3 linked regions of the Lytechinus pictus genome follow. The protein of the gene in region 1 interacts with the protein of each later gene in a pairwise test. Links are inferred from orthologs where the notes say so. Each region holds a gene or a part of one and is shown in the gene's direction. Other genes may lie near its edges. The genes, in order: small nuclear ribonucleoprotein F-like, small nuclear ribonucleoprotein E-like and small nuclear ribonucleoprotein Sm D2.

What was found.
Region 2: the proteins of small nuclear ribonucleoprotein F-like (region 1) and small nuclear ribonucleoprotein E-like interact in binary tests that used the Drosophila melanogaster proteins (3 or more experiments, as listed by UniProt). The link is inferred for Lytechinus pictus from reciprocal best matches to the Drosophila melanogaster genes SmF and SmE.
Region 3: the proteins of small nuclear ribonucleoprotein F-like (region 1) and small nuclear ribonucleoprotein Sm D2 interact in binary tests that used the Drosophila melanogaster proteins (3 or more experiments, as listed by UniProt). The link is inferred for Lytechinus pictus from reciprocal best matches to the Drosophila melanogaster genes SmF and SmD2.

What each region holds. Positions count from the first base shown.
Region 1 is NC_087247.1:76,327,730-76,335,191, forward strand, and holds the start of small nuclear ribonucleoprotein F-like, read left to right. Parts: upstream 1-4,420; 5' UTR 4,421-4,460; coding exon 4,461-4,583; intron 4,584-7,462. UniProt on the Drosophila melanogaster protein: Plays a role in pre-mRNA splicing as a core component of the spliceosomal U1, U2, U4 and U5 small nuclear ribonucleoproteins (snRNPs), the building blocks of the spliceosome.
Region 2 is NC_087263.1:5,424,033-5,431,573, forward strand, and holds the start of small nuclear ribonucleoprotein E-like, read left to right. Parts: upstream 1-4,479; 5' UTR 4,480-4,594; coding exon 4,595-4,642; intron 4,643-7,273; coding exon 7,274-7,300; intron 7,301-7,541. UniProt on the Drosophila melanogaster protein: Plays a role in pre-mRNA splicing as a core component of the spliceosomal U1, U2, U4 and U5 small nuclear ribonucleoproteins (snRNPs), the building blocks of the spliceosome.
Region 3 is NC_087251.1:24,557,037-24,564,200, reverse strand, and holds the start of small nuclear ribonucleoprotein Sm D2, read left to right. Parts: upstream 1-4,139; 5' UTR 4,140-4,298; intron 4,299-7,164.

The sequences.
Region 1 (7,462 bases):
GCAGAGCGAGACTATAGGCGCCGCTTTTCCGACGGCGGCGGCGGCGTCAACATCAAATCTTAACCTAATGTTAAGTTTTTGAAATGACATCATAACTTAGAAAGTATATGGACCTAGTTCATGAAACTTAGACATAAGGTTAATCAAGTATTACTGAACATCCTGCTTGAGTTTCAGGTCACATGACTAAGGTCAAAGGTCATTTAGGGTCAATGAACCTAGACCATGTTGGGAGAATTATTTTCAAAATCTTAACCGAAGGTTAAGTTTTTGAAATGACATCATAACATAGAAAGTATATGGACCTAGTTCATGAAACTTGGGCATAAGGTTAATCAAGTATTAGTGAACATCCTGCTTGAGTTTCAGGTCACATGACCAAGGTCAAAGGTCATTTAGGGTCAATGAACTTTGGTCAAGTTGGGTTTTTTTGTTGAATTCAGGCATGAAAATTCTCCGCGTTTCCGCGGATTTCCGCGTTTTTTGTTTGCTGAATTTCCATTTTTTTACTCCTAAAATCCGCGTTTTAATTTCCGATTTTTAGCGCTTAAATGGTTTAGCATATCTTACGTGTTATATGACGTTTGGCCTTTACAACGATTGCGCAGGAATCTCTTATCTAGCACATCTCAACTCTACACGTGTATTTCGCGGTGTGTTTTACGTTTCTGTGCATGCAGTGCAGCGGTGGTGTGCTTGCAATCGCTGGGGGCAACCCGGCGCGCCGGGCATGCAGCGACCGGGCGCGCATATCATATCGGACCGGTGGAAGACCGATAAAGAAGCTGAATGTGCTCGCAGAGATTTGTGACGTGACATGGAATTTTCATGACGCATTTATAATTCGCGAATATTAATTTGCTGGAAATCCAAGAATTTTGTTTTTTCTTGTTGTTGTAATAACGAATCAAGAAAAATGGCATTTTGTGGGGGACTAACTTGTGACCGCACAGATGTTGTGGATAGACTTTCAAAAGATGTTCATGAAATTGACCGTGGACTTGCTAATATGTGGCGATGGAGTTGGTTAGAGGTGGAGGTGAGAGGACCCGACAATTCTTCATACAACCTGCTTGAAGTGATCAGGAAACTTGATAAACCAGGGAAGTGCTATTGCTATTTTTTAGTATTTTTTAGTTTTTTTTTATTGAATTTTGGACAAAAAATCCATATAAATACTTCATTACAATCATTCAACTCAAACAGGTTTTTGGAGTTGTAAAATTGATAAAACCCAGGAGCTTCCGGGGGCGTTGCCCCCTGGACCCCACCCGTTAGCAGCGAGCGGCAAGCCGCTCGCCCGGTGGGCTTCGCCCACCGTCTTGTCAACGACATTTCCTAAACCCTTTCAGCTTTTTTTTTCATACCCAATTTTCATGCCTGTGAATTACTATCATAACTTTGAAAATTTATGGATCTAGTTCATGAAACTGGGACATAAGGTTAATCAAGTATTAGTGAACATCCTGCCTGAGTTTCAGGTCACATGGCCAAGGTCATTTAGGGTCAATGAACTTTGGCCAAGTTGGGGGTATTTGTTGAATTACCTTCATAACTTTGAAAATTTATGGATCTAGTTCATGAAACTTGGACATTAGGTTAATCAAGTACCACTGAATATCCTGTGCAAGTTTCAGGTCACATGACCATGGTCAATGGTCATTTAAGGTCAATGAACTTTAGCCGTGTTGGGAGTCTTTGTTAAATTACCATCCTAACTCTGAAGGTTTATGGATCTAGTTCATAAAACTTGGACATAAGAGTAATCGAGTATCACTGAACATCTTGTACGAGTTTCAGGTCACATGACCATGGTCAAAGGTCATTTAAGGTCAATGAACTTTTGCCGTGTTGGGGGTATTTGTTGAATTACCATCCTAACTCTGAAGTTTATGGATCTATTTCATAAAACTTGGGATATAAGAGTAATTAAGTATCACTAAACATCCCCTGTGAGTTTCAGGTCACAAAACCAAGGTCAAAGGTCAGTTAAGGTCAATAACACCATATTCTGTGCCTTAGTGACACTCTTGTTGCTCCTGATATTGTAAAATTTATAGTAATATATTTAGCATATATTTCTAGCTTCAAAATGAGATCTTGCTCAATAAATTTGGTCAAGATGCTGTGATGTACATGTAGCAACAATTCTTCCATGGCACCATTTTGAAAATTGTTCATCCACCACCCTTTTTGCATACCCAACTTATGAAATGCGACCATAAGTGCTGTTGTTGGGAACAAAAATCCATGTCGACATGTCGCTTGAAAATTAATCCTGACATCGACAATGTCGACATGAAAAAGGGACCGTAATTTAGCCTAGGCTCCCTAACATAACATGAAAAAAATCATTCGATCGTGGAACATAACATTTACACTCTCAATCAAATGTATTAACCTTGACACGAGTGATATCCCATGCGCACACTAACTCAAGATCGATAAAATACAGGCTCAGTTCGGGAAAACATATTTTCACTAAGCTAGAGTGAATTCACTTCCAAAATCACTGATGTAATCCACATTTTTTCTGAAGAATCAAGTTTTTGTACCACGATCCGGTCTCGAAAGCATTGCGCAACACTCGGTGCCAATTTGAGAATCACCAATTACAACAGTGATCATTGCATAATATACGCTAGTACACATGTGCTGCAAATGCAAGCACCTCAAATTGACAATAAAAAATAATGAAAATTGACCGATAATTTCAGTATCACTTCCGCGGCGATCCGTGCAACGATCTCCAAACAAAGAAAGGGAAGTTTTCTTTGACTTCGTGATATGAAGTAAGCTCTCAATTACGGCGGTCACAACTTTGACAAAAACGCTGCTGCTCACGTTTATGTGAAAAGTAATGGATTGAGGAGCAACGTATTATCAAGCACGGTGAATAGCGATGGGTACGGTGAATGCTACGCTACTCTCGCTATAGCGCTACATATAGATCTAGAGAGATAGTCAGGATCGAGGGCGGCTTGATCGGGCAGGCCGGCCCCGCACTGACTTATTTCTGCTGCTACGCAGCTCGCAGGTATTCTTTTTTCATTTAATGCGCTGCTAAGCTGAATAAACCTTTTAATCGCGCCAATTACTGTGGATAAATGCTTCTAACTTTTCAGCTAAGCTTTACACTCGTGACTTAAGGCTAGACCTCTTTTTATTTTATGTTTACATGTCGATGTGGGTGCGTGCATGTCGACATGTCAGAATTTTGAAATTCCTTTGTATGGCGACATCAATGTCGATATGAGGCCTATCGACAACAGCACTAGCGACCATATAATTCATTATATTTTATGATGGCTAACTTAGGAATTTTTTAATTCCAAAATAGTTTATCTTCTCATTTTGCATTGCTGTATGTAGTGTACAAAGAATATAAACACAGGGAACTATCCACAAGCTGAATTAAGGTTATGAAATGTTTTCACAGAGGTAGAGTGGTCCGAATTTGGTCTTGGAGGCTTTTGGAGTTTAACATGCAAACTTGTTTGTTCGGCATCTGCAATAATTGGGCCATATCGTGAATGCTGACTCCGGAGTCATAAAGTATGTGGTACCTGAATTTCACTACACACTGAGACCCGTTGATTTTCAATAGATTTAGTAGCCTAAGAGATTTTTCGATTTCTGCGCCGAAACCTCTATATTGTTTTATGCAAAACACTTAACTAGTTCTCGCGCTGTTACAAGACTCGCACATGGGACAATTTAAACGTTGACATGACGTTGACAATAAATTCTCACGTCATCACCCCCCCCCAAATCATAATTTGCTATTCAATAATTTAGCCGTAATTGGTAAATGATGAAATGTCATTTTCTGAATAAAAGTTAGTGGATAGGCCTACATGTATACAGTTTCTGGAAGTGAAATTTCCAATAATAACTCTCAATAGTTTGAATATTAATAAGCAAATTCATCTTGAAATTTGTTTCTTCATTAATGTGCAGATAGCTTAGTGTGTCGGTATGTACATGTATGATAAATTCTAAAGAAAGAGTCGGGGAATACCCCTAAGTAACCCCCAAATTGACAAGAATTCAATGACAAACTGCACATTCATCACGATCGTCTAGGCGGCCATGGCATCAGGAGTAAGTTTAACACTGTAGGTGACTGATGTAATTCCTTGATGATGTGACAGTCAACGTAGAAATGCACTGTAGATTTATCTCTGCATGGTCATGGAAATGGTACCGGTATTCTATGCTAATGGTGATATTAGGATTGTGAGGAAAGTTTTTGACTTTATGACTCGGGCTTTGAGAGTATTTTCTTGTGATTACCATACTTTATGGTGAATAAATGTGCTAACTGGCTATGATCATATGATAGGTGGGCAAATATTGGGTTTGGTCTAAAGTACATGTAGGCGTGTTACACTCCAAGCAATGGCAAATATTCTTGAGCTTTAAATTTGAATTTTTTTACTACTATATGTATACAGGGAATGCCACTGAATCCCAAGCCATTTTTAAATGGACTCACTGGAAAGCCTGTGATGGTTCGTCTCAAATGGGGAATGGAGTACAAGGGCTACTTAGTATCTGTTGATGGTTACATGAATGTTCAGGTAAGTTAAATATTAATGTTAACTTTAAAATAGACAGTCATAGCCATAGACATATCTATTGATCAATTATTAACATGAAGCCAGGCTAGACTCATTCAACTTGACATGAGACAGGAAAAAATATTATTACATACAGTACTTATTTAATGTCTTGTTTATGCTTCTTAAAGCCCAAAGTTCTTCCCCAATTTTATACAATTATTTATCATTTTAATGCATTTGAATAACTTTTTTAGAAAAAAATTTGAGCAGATATGTATACTCAAACAATGTACACAAAAAGTTCTGTATTTCAATTTGCCAATTATTTAGTCAAGAAGAATAGTAAAAAAAATTAATATATTTCATGTCAAATCCAATGCAATCTCCTTGTAAAGTGTAATATTCTGCTTGTATTCTATTCTCCTCTGCGTTTTTTCTCGTCATTCTCAATGAACGACTCTCATGAAAATAGTGCTGCTAAGTCAGGCAGCATGTTCGAGTTTGGTTCTGCAATTTTTTTCAGAACTTTGGTTCGAAACTATAAAATAATGGATCGCCATTTGCGAACCCTCAGCCAGTTTGTCACAACGAAGGTCTGTCATATATTTATAATGAATTTTGTTTCTATAAAGAATGGTTATGAAAATTGTTGCTTATAGTTATAGACTACTGTAAAAGTGGAAAATTTTGCGGTGTGGAAATTTTTACACTTGATACATGACAAACTTCACAATAAAATACTGAAGAGCATGACAATTTTTATTTTTTATTTTTTTTTTTTACTTTAGTTCAATTTTTCTTCCAACTGTAAATATATTCATAAACATGATAATACGACTATCATTATTGCTAAGAAACATGGCATTCTTTTATTGGGAGGGGGGAGGGGGGGTTATGCTTCCAACATAAAATGATTTACTTCACAAAAATTGAAAAAAAAAACAAGCGTAGCAACATTATTGTTTCAATTTCATATGGTCTACGGTATGTAAACTTGGATAAACAAAATAAAGACAGGCATGTGAGTGGGGTAGAAAAAAGAAAAGAAAATATTTTGTTGCAACAATCGAGGGAGCAGAGCGATCGTGCGGCGGATGGGTGTGAGAGGGGGGTGTCTCCTCTCCCACAGTCTGGCCTGACGCTTTTTTAATTTTGTATGTCAAATGGTGCAATTTGAAGCATACTTTTGATGACAATTTCTAGGTATTTTTGGAGTTGGCAAACTGTACCAAAAAAAAAAAATTGATACAGTTCTACTGACTGTAGTTATTCCTAGGCCTGGTTGACATACATGTATGTCTAGATATATAAAGTCTGAAAGTCAATATAAAAAAATTGACAAAAGTAATTCAGTAACCAACTCCTGATCAGTCCTCTTCCAAAATTAGTTCCAAATTTGTTTGATATTATGAACAGTCTCACAGTTTAATTAATTAAAAAAGCGATCTTCGTCCATATAGCGGGCCTCAGCAAACAACTCTGCGGCTAGTGTCCTGTACAATTCCAGCTCTAGATCTAGTCATGTTTGCTTCTTTCCGTGACAAAGTCATTGATTAGCGAATCACTCTACTTTAAAAAATAAGTTCAAATTTGGTGTGCCACTATGAACAAATCAGTACTTCATGACTGTAAAAATTATTCGTATCCTGAGCTGAGAAAGTAAAATTTTAATCCGATATAAATCTGAAATGATGAGATCATTCATACATATAGGCGAGCACTTGACAAGAGAAATTGAAGCAGCAGGACTTCGGCAAAATGAGCGGGCCGTCAGCAAACGCTAGCAGGCTGGGGTGCTGATACTACTACGGAAATAGAAAATATTGACAATGGAAAAATATTTCAAATTTAGGATATGAATTTAACCAATATAAAAGCAGCTGAGAATAGGTTGATTCGACTTCCTGTTTCAACTTAACGCGATTGGGAACATGCTTTGAATTTTGTTATCTCTTCTGTTCTTTAAAATTCTATTTCTACCCTTATTCCTTCATCTCTTATTGTCTCGCCTGCATAGCAGAGTGAGACTAGGTGCCGCTTTTCCAACAGGGACGGCGGTGTCGTCAACATTGAAATCTTAACCAAGGTTAAGTTTTTGAAATGTCATAACTTATGAAAATATATGGAACAAACTTTGATAATGTTGGGGGTATGTTAGGAATTGTCATCATAACTTTAAAAAGTTAATAGATCTAGTTCATGGAAACTTGGAACATGAGAGTAACCATGTATCCCTGAATATCTTGTGTGTGTTTCAGGTCACATCAGAGTGCAGGATAGTGCGAGTTCTAGAAATTGGAATTATCAAAATTACATGTATCTAGAATTTAGAAGAAATATAGCATTCGGGGCTGTACAACTGTCACGGCTTTGAGGCCAGTGAAAAGCACAAGAAAGCCTATTTTTTTAAAGCCTGGTAACAGTTTGTGTTATTTCAATACTAACAGTGACTTTAAGCTGATAATTGCAAATCTTGTTCCTTTCTGGTTCTTTTTTAAGCTCCAAATAATACATAAAGTCACATATTTATCTTTTGACCTTGACATTGATCTAAAAATAGCTGTAAATGCCATAAAAATTGGCAAAACCTGTGAGATTTACAACACATTTCCAAATTGATGTTTTCACAGAATGAATGCCTGATCATGTTGATAATTTGCAGTATCGGTAGTCCATAATGAGTACTTGGATGATTTAGTATTAATTAATTTGTCTTACTTTTTTCAAGGTCATTGCCAATAAGACAAACTATTTGTGATGCATAGGAGGAGGGAATTTATGTCTTTATTAAATACAAAACGATTTGGACCGATTAAAATCACAATCGATTATGGCAATCCGTAATTCAACCACTTTTGTACAAGTTTAGCTTCAAATGTCCTCTCATTTTATGAAGA
Region 2 (7,541 bases), on another chromosome or scaffold:
CAGGGACCGTTTCATGAAGGTTGTCAACACTGACAAGCTGTCGTGCAATAATTTCCATAGCAACAGTCAGACTCCTGTGTTTCTCATCCAATCAGAAACGAGGAAAGCTGTCAGATCTGATAACTTTTCAAAGGGTAACCATTTTGATCCTTCCGTGTAAGCAAAAAAAGTCAAGAAGCAACCCAGTGATCAGTGTGGCTACTTCAATCCCTCTTCTTCTTATGTTTTTAAATAATTTAATACCCTTTTTTCTCTTTGCAAAAATAAATCCTGCATGTGGCCTCTAAATTACGCAAGAAAACATGGAGGATGACTTTGTGGATATTTTTTTTTTACAATAATACAAAATGATATATAAATATATTGTTTGAATAAAAATACTTCAAATGTATAACTTCCTTTTTTTTTCAAAAACGTCCTGTGTTATTGGATGGAGGTGCCACATTTAGGTGAAAGTTGTATTTTAATTTTGTTTTCTTGATACCTGTTAGTTTATATGTTCATTGCCAGAGAAAAGTTATATGAGATATTGATACAAATCTTTCGAAAGGTGCAATATTTGTGTTATGCTCTTCATTGTACAAAAGAGATGAATTATAGAATTGGACAATGTTTGTTTTCATTCTGAGTGATATTTGAGTGTTTGTATACAAGTGAGGAGCAGCATGACTTCTTATTTTTGTGATATGTTGCATGAAAGTTACGGCATTTGTAAGGTTTTGTTATTTATGTTTTTATCATGTCTATGGGGTGTTTCATGTGCAACAAGATTGCCTGACATTGCAACCATCTATGGCAAGCCGTTCATGAAAGAGTTTTAAAATTATTTTGTCGCAAATCTGCAGTATTTGCAAATTTTGCATGGTGGTAGATGAAAATGAGGAATTGATAAGAAAATGAAACCAAATTTTGAAACGTAAGAAAGGGAGATATATAGCAACATTTATGAATCTAATAATATTACTAACATTGGTAACATAATAGTAGTATGATGGTGGTGATAACAGTAATAATGATGATGATGGTCATGATAATAATGGTCATGATGATGATGATGATGATGATAATGATAATAACAAGTGTGTTAGATTTGCACAATACATTTTATGAATTTGTATCCATGTGTTTAGATGAGCATATGCAATGTTTACATGTGTATTTTTATCAAATTTATCATATCGATGAATAGTGTAAAATGCAAATTATATAATTCAATGCTTTGGAGTCACAACACAAAAATCCCACCACAGCATCAGTGCAGCAATGCATTTTAGAAAAACAGATTACTGCATTATTTTGTTGTAAAATCACTCAGTATATCCAGTTGCATTGCTGTATTCATTGATAACATGAATCACGATGCAAAAATCATTTATATTGTGAAATGTATTCAAAATGAGATAAGTGTGTGGAAACAAGTATTCAGGTGATCTGGTTTCCTGTATATATTTTGCTGACATTCATTTAATGATTAATCATTTGCTTCACTGAGGTGAAGTTCTTGCATGTATGATTTTTTTTAATGAGATATCTTCACAATATATTTCAAATGATACAATTTCAATAGTATTTTTTTTTTCACAAATTATTTCTATTTTCTTTTCTTGAAACTGTAATGTGTGTGATATGAAATGATTCACAGATTTTTTGTCACATATCCCTGATTTTTTAAATTTTTTACTGAGTTATATCTTCAAGGATGGAAAAGGGCATCTATATTTAATGTATTACTTTAAATTTGCACTGTAGTTTAATATTCTAGTTTAATAATTTTGATGTTCTTGATATCTAACTCCTAACAGTTTCCACTTCTGTGTATTTCATTGAAATCAAAACCCAGGATCATTACAGTTGATTACAACTTGTGAATGTGAAAGTAAGTTACAAATCTTGAAAACGAATTAATTTGCTCAAATATTGATTTCTTCAGAATAATGATGGTGGATGATAAAGTCAAGGCAATCTACCACACTACAGCAATAGCTCATTCAATAGGACTAGGGCATCTCATCGCGTGGTGTATGAAGTGTATCTGATATATGAAGTATATCCCTAAAGTAACTTGTGTGTGTTTAACATGCCAAAAATCAGATGAAATATATTAGTCACTTGTGCCTTTAATCAGCTTTTGAAGATCTTAGTGTATATTTTGCATTGTTTGGACAGATTTTGTTTCTTTTATTTTCCTGTTGCATGTAAATATTCTTTTTTTAAATAGCAGTAAACTTAAGATATGTATTATTGTAAAGCCATTTGTTTATTATGAATATTCATATAATTGATATATGATTTACATGTACATAGGCATATATTAGAAGAGTATTACACTACTTTGTAAATTTCATGATGAAACTAATTTTTTTTTTATGCAACCCTCTAATTATGGTCACAGATAATAAAGATTTGTGAAGGTGATCTGCCACAAATATTAATCATATTTCATGTGTTTTCCTCTTTCTGTTTTCTTTCTTGAGTAAGTGAGCGGGTAGAGTGACTGTTTAATTGCGGGGGAGTAGATTTTGCTGAAAAGACATGTCTTCATTGTTGCAAAATAATTGACAAGAAAAAAAAAACTGGAAAAAAGTGATCAATTAAAAAAAAAGTGGTAAAAAAAAAAAATCTGACTGGCCAAATAAAAATGAGTTAATTTAAATAAGTGTGGTAAAGGGAAAAAGAAGAGGTGAATAATGATCGAGGCAAAGGCTGCAGTTATATGTTTGCTGTTACAATAAACGTAAGTGATATACATCTGGGGCCCATTTTACAAGACATGCGATTGATCCAATCAATTGCAACTATGGAAAGCCAGCAATGTCACCATCTAAAACACAAGTTTGTTTAAAATATTTTCTAGAAATGACATAAATTCATACGTCCACTGTTTTTCTTGACAATTCGGTATGCTTCTCTAGCTTTGTTTTCAAAAGACATTGAGCAAAATTCCTGAAGAAAAAATTATGACAGTGGATTTCCATATAGTTGAGATTGATTCGATCAATCGTAACTCTTTGTAAGACGGGGCCCTGATGTGGAAAACTATGCACAGTGCTTCGCAGCAATTGTTCGCAGTCTTCTGAATCAGACATATATTGTTACATTTCAGACTCATTAAAGCAAAGGGGAAGTTCACCCTGACGAAAAGTTTGTTGTAAAAATAGAAGGAAAAATAATAAAAAGATATTGGTGAAGAAGTTATTAGAATTTCAAGTTTTTGATTTTTGACGTCATAAACGAGCAGCAGCCCATATGTTATGTAATATAAATGCTTAAAGGAGAATGAAACCCTTGAAACCAGCTGAATCCATATCAAAGAGAAAAATCAAAGAAACATATTGTTGAAAGTTTGAGGAAGATTGAATGAATAATAAGAAAGTTATGAGCATTTGAAAATTGAGATCACTAATGTCATGTAGATCCTCCCATTGGCAATGCAACCAAGATCTGTGATGTCACACACGTACAACTCCCTCATTACTTTAGTACTTATTTCACTTATATTCTCACTTTTATAGAGTCTATCACAAGGTGAGGTGTTCTCTTTATGAGAGGACAAGTACAGAGGTTTCACAACATTATATCATTGATGAATCGTTTGTCATATGATTAGAATGAGCAAAAAGAGATGTTTTGGGGTACATTTTCAGTGTCCAAAAGGGGAGAGTTGTCCAGTTTTGGACACTGAAAATATACCCCAAAACATCTCTTTTTGCTCATTCTAATCATATGACAAACGATTCATCAATGATATAATGTTGTGAAACCTCTGTACTTGTCCTCTCATAAAGAGAACACCTCACCTTGTGATAGACTCTATAAAAGTGAGAATATAAGTAAGTACTAAAGTAATGAGGGAGTTGTACGTGTGTGACATCACAGATCTTGGTCGCATTGCCAATGGGAGGATCTACATGGCATTAATGATCTCAATATTCAAATGCTCATAACTTTCTTATTATTCATTCAATCTTCCTCAAACTTTCAACAATATGTTTCTTTGATTTTTCTCTTTTATATGGATTCAGCTGGTTTCAAGGGTTTCATTCTCCTTTAAATTTCACATTTTAATGGTTCGTAATGACTTTTTCTTTTCTTTTTTAGGAGTGGGTGGGAAATCATGTGTTTATTAAATACATACTGAAGATATATAATTTGTCATAAAAACCATTTTCAATTTTCAGAGAAAATGAAATTTCATTGATTTTTTACCATACAATATGTAGGAAAGCTGCTCGCATATGATGTCACAAATCAAATAATTTGAATTCTAATGACTTATTTATTCTTTGATGGATTTTCCTAAAACTTTTGCCAATATAAGAAGAAGAAGGAGGAGCAAAATTGGATTAAGAAGAAGATGGAGGAGAAGGATATGGGGTAGAGAAGGAAAGGATGAGGGATATAAGAAAATCTCAGTTGAACTCATTTTATCTTTTTCAGTCAGGACTGAAAAACATATATGTCGCCCTCTAGCGCTCTAGCGAGGGACAGTTTAGTAATAGCTTTTGACAAAACACATGTGAACGCGATCTCCACGAAGCGGGAACGATTCTGCATTGTTTGTTCTTATTTCATCGATCAGATCTAAGCTGTGAAAATGGCGTATAAAGGGCAGAAGGTCCAGAAAGTGATGGTCCAACCGATTGTATCCTTTTAAAGAACTAATACATGCTCCTTTTCTCGTTATAATGTATCTTAATGTGTGTTTGTTTTCTGTTGAATATGAAACTGCTCACACTTACACTAACGTGTGGGACTGAAGTTAAATTGTGGTTGCATCTGCTGTGCGCTGTGTAGCGGAAAACAAAAGTCGGACTCAGTCTCAGAGTCAGAGGTCGGACTAACTTGATAATAAGACTAAAATATACAAAACAGATTTTCCTTTCCTTTTTACACAGCCCCCCAACATTGATCAGTATTTTAGTAACTTGGCCTGGCCAACAAATTTATTAATGGGGGTTGAGATTAAAAATGGGGAAAGGACATTTTGGTGAGTGACGTGACTGGTTTGCTTCGACTTTGTAAGTTCCACTAAGTTACATTGTTAAAAAAATTTGTTTCTGTCGACATGATCGATGTCTGATAATTCCTCATTAAATTCCCTTTCTCTTTCTTTGTGTCGGCCTTCCATCCTTGTGCTTGTCAAGAGACGTTGATAAGTCAATTCATTCAATTATTTATGGAATACATTTATTTAATTTTACAATTCATTTTTTTGTTACAAAAAATGTAGCATGTAACTGTGAGTCCACAGTGGTAAATCGTCCATAGACTTTACAACGGATAGACCGTCTCGGCTCAGCGAATCGGAGACCGCTGATTGGTCAATCGCGCAGATCACGTCATGACTACGTGGTCGCCAAAATAATTCCCTCGGACTGCGTGCGAAAGTATCGATAGCGATAACGATATCCGGTCACATTGTTTACGCGGGAATTGGTCTTGGTTTGCGATCGGATCGCTCCAGTATCGATTGAAAATTATCGAGACACGGCAATTTCATGCAAATTCACGCGACGCTCCGAAACCCGGAAATCAATTGACTTTGTGCACGTTGCGATAGACTCTACAAACTCCAACGAACACAATGCCATATCGACGCCAGGGGTGTGAGAGTTCAGATTTTAATCTGATTTCAGATATTTTTGTTTTGATTTCCAGCTTAATTTCAGCTTATTTTTGGCCTTCCTCTGTACAAAAAGTATGGGAGCTCTTTCTATTTCAGACTTTTTCAACACTTCAGCTTTTTTCAGATCTTTTTATTTGTGACCACTCACACCCCTGCGACGCTAATTCGTAAGATTTTGACGGAAAAGCAAGAAGTAATCGAAATTCGCTTACCTGTGCGGTATCGGTGAGAAAAATAGATCCTCCGAGAATACCTTTCATAATTCATATAAAATATAGGAAAGGGAAATTCTAGGTCGATTTTTGTACGAGGTGATAGAGAATTGCACACTTGTTTTGGTGGAATACTGTGTGGGGCAATGGAAGGCTTGCACTGCGCATGCTTACTATATTTTCATTCATAAATTGGCTATCGGCAGTGGCTAGATGACGTCATGTAATAAGCAAAATGTACACGCCCGCTAGCGTTGAACGCATCGCTATCCGTTCTACACAATTTGCCACTGTGGAGTCTCAAAATTGGAAAAATATGGAGGGAGGCATATGTTTGGAGTTGGGAGAGCGAAAATAAAATGTTAAACTAGTCTGGAGACTGATGCCAATGTACATGTCCCAATCTCATATCTCTCCGGTGAGCAACAAAATTTCAAATGAATGGTCCTGGGGCCGATTGCACGAAAGGGTCTTTCCAAGGACCGTCTTTCGTGTCGCCCATCTTTTATGATGCGCTATAAGCGGAGTGTTTCTGAAATTTATGATAAACAATACAATTCGTAAGCTTGCTTTTAAATAAAATTTTATACAATTTCATGAGATATCACATCATTTCATAAACTAACATTTTGTTTATTTTAACGGATGAGTAAAATATGTTTGCAGATAATTTATTTGAAATGCGTTTCACATGGCGCATCATAAAAATTGGGCGACAGGAAAGACGGTCCTTGGAAAGACCCTTTCGTGCAATCGGCCCCTGAACTCCTGATAGCTTCAGTCTCTGTTTGGTGATTGGTCAGTTCTGCTGGACTATGTGATGTCGTTTAGGGGGGAAAGAGAAGGAGAGAGAGGAGAAACCAAAGAAGTAAAGTAAGAGGAGAAACAAAAAAGTGAGAAAAAAAATACAGATATCAGATGTCTGTATCGTGGCCTACACTAAATGGGATGTTAGATATTGATAAATTCAAGCAAATAATGTAAGGAATCATGTCATATATCCATAGTTTGATTTTTCTTATTTAATAAGGTTCAAAACTTAGTGCAATTTTATATGAATAGTGAAATTGATTGGATCTAAATCTTCCATTTAATTTTCATTGATTGGCACAACACTGCTGGGATCTGGTTTTCATGAATTACAATGACCCACTGCTAATTGAAAAATTGTTTGTATTTCAATTTGTAAATTTTTATATGCAGATAGCAGATCAATATTGTGGGATGTAAAACAATTGTATTGAATGGATTTCACTTCTTGTTACTTGCGCCCCTAGCCTAAGGGTTGAAACATCTAGACTCGCTATAGATGTAGCAAAAAATATATTGTTTTCAGTGTTCAGATCTTGAATCGTTTCATCTTGCTTGCCATTGAAATTAATTTGTCAAATAATTTTCCTTGACAGACTATTTTCTAACTTTTGCATTCCCACAGAATTTGATTTTCAGATATCTTCAGAATGTAAGTACAGTCCAGTTTCTTTTTTTTATCCCAGATATTATAGAAATATTGAATTCACAACGGTGGCAAAACCGGACACTACCATTTCCTGGAGCACTTTTACATCCCCCTCTTTGATTTTTTTCTCAAGTGGTTGAAATTAGGGATAAACAAGAATAATAGAGGGAGGAAGGGGAGAGAAAGAAGGTTTTATAAACTGGGCCGTGCAACTACATGTAGGCCAATATAATACCTGCATTTG
Region 3 (7,164 bases), on another chromosome or scaffold:
GTTCTTCGAATGTTTTGCGGCTTTTGACATGTGAATTGTGATTGATAAAGTCTTTGATTTTAGTGGAAAGAAGGAAGCACTTTAAACGTATTCTTTTCAAATCGATCATATCTTCAACGACTGCTGGGATCATCAGCATGCTTCCAGAATAACGAAATGTAAACAACTTCAATTAGCGCGCGCAAATTATTCAGAGCCTAGATCGAGAGTGCCCTTTGGTGTCAGCAATCGGATACCGCTCGAAACCGTACCGATAGGGGAGGGAATGAACGCTGTGATGTAAACAGACCACATTTCGGACTCGGTCCGTTCGCGAAGCTAATCCACCAATAATCCAGTCAAGGTTGCAAGTGGACTCGGTCGGGTCTCGGGTAGGAAACTTTCAGATGTAACAGGGGCCATATGTGTAAGTAAGGCCAGTAAAAGACCTCAAGCCAAGAGGGATTAAAATAATGAGGCAGGCAACATCAAACAGGATCTGGAACAAAACAGAGATAATGGGATGAAAAACAAGAGAAATAGTGAGAGGTGGGTCAAACAGGTTACAAAGAAAGGCTTAATAAACTGGTGCATAAGAGTGGGGGGGGGGGAAGAAAAAGAATGGGGAACAACTGATAATGTGCAAAAGACATATAAGTATATATGATAAAGCATTAAACAAACTAAGAGAAGAAGGTAAGTGTAAATATGTATCTATAAGTGATATGTATATAAATATATCCAAAAAAGAAATGTATATGAAAAAATATATAAATACACATATGGTGTAACTGATATTGTAATCCGCTAGGTGTGACGGGAAAAAAACATAAGACTATAAGTCTATATAGTAGGGGAAAAAAAAAAAAAAAAACACCCTGTATATGTGAAAAAGAGGAAGCAAATTGCCTAAAAAAAGTAAAAGCAAATATAGAAGAGAGGGGGTGTATTATGAAGAAACCATAGTATACATGTAAATAAGCAAATGTGGTAAATCTAAAAGAGGTGAGTGGAGAAAAAACAAATATATATATATATATATATATATATATAATAATTATTATATCGCCTGAATAAGGAAGGAAAAATTGGAGCTAAGCTTGTATGAGATATGGGAGGAAAGTAGAGTAAGAAACTATAATGTAACTATTCAAAAGAGCTGAGGGGAAAAACTATATGTATATAAAAATTGAAAGTGGATAGGAAAGAAAAATCAGTCGTTCCCCTCTTGGATGTTCAGGCCATGAGGTTGGGTGGTGCGAAGTCGTCTCATCCAGAGCTTCTCCCTGCTAGTACGGACTGAGTCAGGACGGGTACCTAAAGATTCGATGCCCTGTAGCATCATGTCAGTGATGGAGTGGTTGGGGAGGTTAAAATGGCGGCCAACTGGAGTGTCCAGCTTTGCTGTGTTGACGGTGGATCTGTGCCCGTAGAATCGTTTCTTGAGTGTGGTCTTGGTTTCCCCTATGTATTGTACCCTACAAACTCTGCAAGTGATGAGATATACAACATTAGTGGTAGTGCATGTGATGTTGCCCTTGATTTGGTGAGACAGGCTGGTAGAGTTGCTGGTGAAAGTATCGCCCTCGTGAAGGTGTATTTCACATATGATGCACCTGTTGCTGGTGCATTTGAAGGTGCCATGTTGTATGGGAGAAGAATGGTTAGTGAGGGAGGGCACTTCAGCACGAACAATGAGGTCCCTGAGATTCGGTGGGCGTCGGTATGCTAGAAGGGGAGTATCGGGAACGGCCTGTTGGAGACGATCAGAAGTGTGTAAAATCAAGGAGCTTCCAACTCCTTGGTAAAATGTGGTGGTTATCAAACAGGATTTTGCGGAGAGGGGGTAGATTGGGATGGAAGGTGGTCACAAGCGGTATTCTGTCGGTGGTCTCCTTGTCACTTTTTGGTTTGAGAACTTCAGATCTGGGGAGAGAACGAACTTTGTTAATTGCCAGTTGGACTAGCTGCCCTGGCCCGTGGCCCCTGGCACAGAGATGTTTCTGCAAATTCCTGGCATGGAAGGAAAAATCAGGGTCCTCGGAGCAGATACGGCGAAGTCTGAGGGCTTGACTGTAAGCGATGCCGGTTTTGCAGTGACGGGGGTGGCAGCTGGATGAGTGGAGGTACTGGTGGGTATCTGTGGGTTTAGAGTATAGGGTAGTGGTGATACCATTATACTTTTTCTGGACTGTAACATCAAGGAAGTGGGTTTCCTGTTGGGAGAAATCAGAAGTGAATTTGATGGTCCTGTGGAAGGAATTGATGTGGTCAATGAATGTATGGAGGCTGTCTTCACTCTGGTCCAGATGAAGAAAATGTCGTCTATGTAACGCCACCAAATCCATGGGCGACAGGGGGCTGAATCTAACATCTGCTGTTCCAGCTTCGTCATGAAGAGACAGGCGAATGAAGGAGCCATCCGGATGCCCATTGCTGTACCGAATATCTGTAGGTATAGTGCTTGCCCATGAATGTGAAGCTGTTTTTTGTTAGTACATGAGACATCAGAGATTTGATATCGGATATGGGGGGACTGGAATGGCCACTGGCGGCCAAGGCTAGCTTCACATGATGCTTGGATACCTTCGTCGTGGGGAATTAATGCTGGTGTACAGTGAAGAAACATCGAAAGTGCCGATGATCGCAGTCTCGGGTCCTTGATGTCATTTAGTTTCCTGAGAAAGTCTGGAGTGTCGTGGATGTAAGAGGGTGCACGTGAGACAATTAAGGGGCTTAATGTGGTAATCAACAAAAAGGGAGATGTTCTCTGTTGAGGAACCATTTCCTGAGAGGATGGGTCGACCGGGGTTGGCAGGTTTGTGGATCTTCGGGAGGAGATAGAAGCGGGCAGGTTTAGCATTAGTAGGGGAGAGAAATTTGTGGGCCTTCTCAGAGAGATGCTCGTGTTCTTTCATGTCATTCAGTGTCGATTTGATCTGTAGGGAGAAATTACAAGTAGGGTCAGAATCGAGGAGTGCATAGTGAGATCGATTATTGAGATGTTTCATGGCTTCATCGATGTACTGCTGGCGGTCCATAACAACGACGGCTGATCCTTTGTCTGCAGGCTTGATGATGATGTCGGACCTGTTTTTGAGTGATGAGAGAGCCTGATGAGAGAACCTATATATCTACGGAGGATTATCTATTGTTACTGGGGGTGCTGTGACAATGCTCAGCACCCCCAGTGACAATAGAATAATCCTCCGTGGATAGGTCCATGAATGAATTAAAGGACAAGTCCACCCCAACCATTAGTTGATTTGAATAAATAGAGAAAAATCCAACCAGCATAACACTGAAAAGTTCATCAAAATCGGATGTAAAATAAGAAAGTTATGACAGTTTTAAGTTTTGCTTAATTTCACAAAACAGTTATATGTACATCCTGGTCGGTATGCAAATGAGGAGACTGATGACGTCATCCACTCACTATTTCTTTTGTATTTCATTATATGAAATATGAAATATTCTAATTTTCTCCTCATTGTCAAGTTAAACAAAGATTAATTCCTCCCTGAACACGTGGAATTAGCATTGTTTTAATACTATATGGTTCAGTCAAGTTGGTCCTTAATGTCAAACCTGTAAAAAATGAAATATTGTATAATTCAAACAATAAAAAACAAAAGAAAAAGTGAGTGATGGACCTCATCGACTGTCTCATTTGCATGTCACTGAGATGTGCATATAATTGTTTTGTGAAAAATAAGCGAAACTTTAAAATGTCATAACTTTCTTATTTGACATCCGATTCTGATGAAATTTTTAGCGTTTTGCTCGTTGGATTTTTCTCTATTTATTCAAATCATCATTTTTTTGGGATGGACTTGACCTTTAACTATTCTGTGAAAAAAATAAAAATAATAAAAATAATTACTATCTGATATCCGATTTGTATCAATTCGATCACGATTGTTTGGCTTTATCTACGATGTGGGAATTATAGATCTACATGTATTTTTGTATATTGAATCATACCAATCTCCAAAATAGAAATTTCAACATAGTCTACAAGCACAGACTAAAATTTGACAACTTATACCATGACTAGATTGAAGACTCCAATTGTTTTGTCTGTGTCAAATCAGATTTGGTAGAATAGGCCACCGCTAATTGAGTGAATCTAGTCTCACTACTTCAGACTCTGCATATGCGCTGTGTGAAAACCGAAGGTCTGTGCCTGCAGACTAATCTCGACGCGGCACATAATATTTTGCTGCTTCCTTCAATTCTGCATGCACTCAGACACTTTGCGGAGACACACTTTGAGCAGCAGTGCAGTCAGCGCAGCGCTCTGCCGTGCTGCATGCTAGGCAGTCACTGAACTAAAAATACGTGGAAGTCGTGTTCACCCAAGCAAAACAGCGCCGGCGAAATCGATAAGTCACGTGACCGCCGCCATTTTGCTAGGTCAATTGTTCGAGAGCGCGCCGTAGAAGGCAATTGAAAATATGTGCAAGATGCAATATGTTTTCTCTATAAATATAAAATTAATAGTGTGGCAAAGTGTATTTTAATGTCATTAAGCCAATCATGTACAAACATATTTCTATATGCACAATGTACTGGGACCTGGTAATTCATGTAGTTAAAAAAAAGGGTCTAATTCAGGGTGACCAGATTTCACAAAATGAAATACGGGACAATCGCCTCATCAAAGAAGGCTACACGATGTTATACTTGTGAAAAAAATAAAAAGAATTGGAAGGGAGGGATAACGAAAGAATGAAGGAGAGAAAAAAAAGACGAAAGAAAAGAAATGAGAAAGAAGAAAGAACAAATGAAGGGGAAAATAAAAGCGGAAAGTTAGAATAATCAAAAGGACGATGAAAGAAAGAATAAAAGAGAAAAAAAAAGGTTTCCGTCATTCTTTGAATTCACCCAATATAGAAAGAAATAAAAAGAAAGAAAGGGAAGATGTGTGAAAGACAAAATAAGAAAAAGGAGGAGGAAACAAAGAATAAAGGAAAGAAAAATGTTTTTTTTTTCTTTGAAAGAAGAAAACGGGAAGGGAAAATGAAGGAAGGGGGAGGGAAAGAAAGAAAGAATAAGGGGAAAGAAGAAGAAGGAAAAAATAGAGAATGAAAGAAAGAATGAAAGAGAGGGAGGAAAGATTGAAGGGAGGAGAAAATAAAAAAAATAATGGAAGGAGAGAAAAAACGAAAAGAAAAAGGTGAGGAAGGGAGTAAATAAAAGTATAAGGAAAGAAAGAATGACGGAAATAAAAATGGCAGATACGGAGGAAGAAGGAAAGAAAGAAAATTAAAACACAGAAAGGATCAGGAAAGAAAGGTATGAAATATTAAAAGATGTAGATGGAACAAAAAAAAAACAAGGATAGAAGGATGAAGGATAAAAAGGAAAGAGGAAAAAGTTCAAACTTCAAGCAAACAAAAGCAATCCAGTCATCTAACAGAAATGATAATGATATTTGGTGTTTTTTTTTAATTTTGGAAAACTAAGTGGTTTAGAAATGAATAAAATTTCAAAGTGAAACATTGTCAACTTACAAATGAGAGGAAACAGCGCCGGCATCCTATATACACAACAAGACTCAAAAAGCTAAAACAACTGCATGTAGATCCCGTTATGAAAACTAAAAAAAACTTGTTCCTCCGATCCTATTTAATCAGTAATCTGAGAATTACGATCATAAAAATTTTCCGCCGATTTTGTGATTATTTTGGTGGAAAAACTGTTTATCATGTGAGATTGTTTGCATCATTATGCTCCGATCCTACATGCATAGAGCCTGTTTCACACACATGCAGGCAATAATACTAACCTCGTACTAGTGTGAGTGACAGGCAGGAAGCCAGCTCGTTTGCAATGTATTTGGTTAGGATAAAAATCACCCACAGAACTTGCAAAAGTTTTAGTTATCGATTTATTGTTGTCTCTGCTTCGTCATTCTGTTTGGTTATGTGATGAAAATTCGTCACTTTTTAATTTATCAACTATATTTTGTTCAATATTCTAAAAATACGGGACAGATATGTCCCGGGAAGGGTTTGTCGGGACGCCGGGACAAATTAAGGAGCAAAATACGGGACGATCCCGGGAAATACGGGACGTCTGGTCATTTGACAAGAGGTAGTGGTCTTTTTGTACAATTTTTGACTTGTGGAATATTTCATACTCACCAGGATATGCATATAACTGGTATGTGAAAATAAGCGAAATTTAGTGCAACAACTTTTTAAATGGAATTACCATTGCTATGACTTTCTGATTTGTGCTCTAATAGTAAACTTGTTAGAGTTGACTTGGTTTTGTTTATCCATCACCCATTCCTTTATGTAAAAGTGTATTGATGTAAGCACATGTCGTGCAACATCCATGCTCTTCCAAATTAAATTTCATAAGAATTCAAATTCTATTGTGCCCATTTTTACATACACGGTACTTTATAGTAGATATTTCCTTGCTGAGCACACGAAGGTCCAACTTTGAAGGCTCATTAAAAGTAACAACCTTCTTGCCCTTAAACTTCTATTCAATTTTTCACCCTGAATGTGTGATTGAAGAGTATGAGAGGGAGGGAAGGGAATATTTACTCAAAATTCATATAGAGAAAGTTGAAGGAAAAATTGTAAAGATGGAGAGAGAGAAAAAGAAACAGACGATCAACGAGAAGAGATGGAAAGAAGAGGAAGATCAAAGAGAAGGAGAGAGAGAGAGGGAGAGAGAGGGGAAATCGAGGAATGAGAAAGAGGTGAGGAGAGAAAGGCGAGACGAGAGGGAGATAAAAGAGGGCTCGATATAAGGGAGATGGGGAAATAAAAGAAAGATATAATTATGGGGAAAGAGAGAGAGGGAATGTAAGAGAGAGAGATGAGAAAGACGAGGAGATGAGAGAGAAAGAAGCCAAAGAGAAAGGAAAATAATAAAGAGGGAGATCGAGATGATATAAAGGAGAGAAATAAGAGAGAGAGGGGCATGAAAGTAGAAATGGAAGAAATAGAAGGGGATGGAGAGGATAAGAGAGATGGACAGAAGAGGAAAATCAGAGAAAATGAGATGAGATGAATAGTTGAATGAGAAGGGAGGTTTAAAAAAAAAGCTAGAGAAAGGGACATGATCTCTAATCGTTAAAAGATTTTTTTTTATGCAACCAGCTAGGCCTACTCAGAAAGCATATTTGTTGTGGGGCCTTTCCTTGTCACAGCGTGCGCGTGA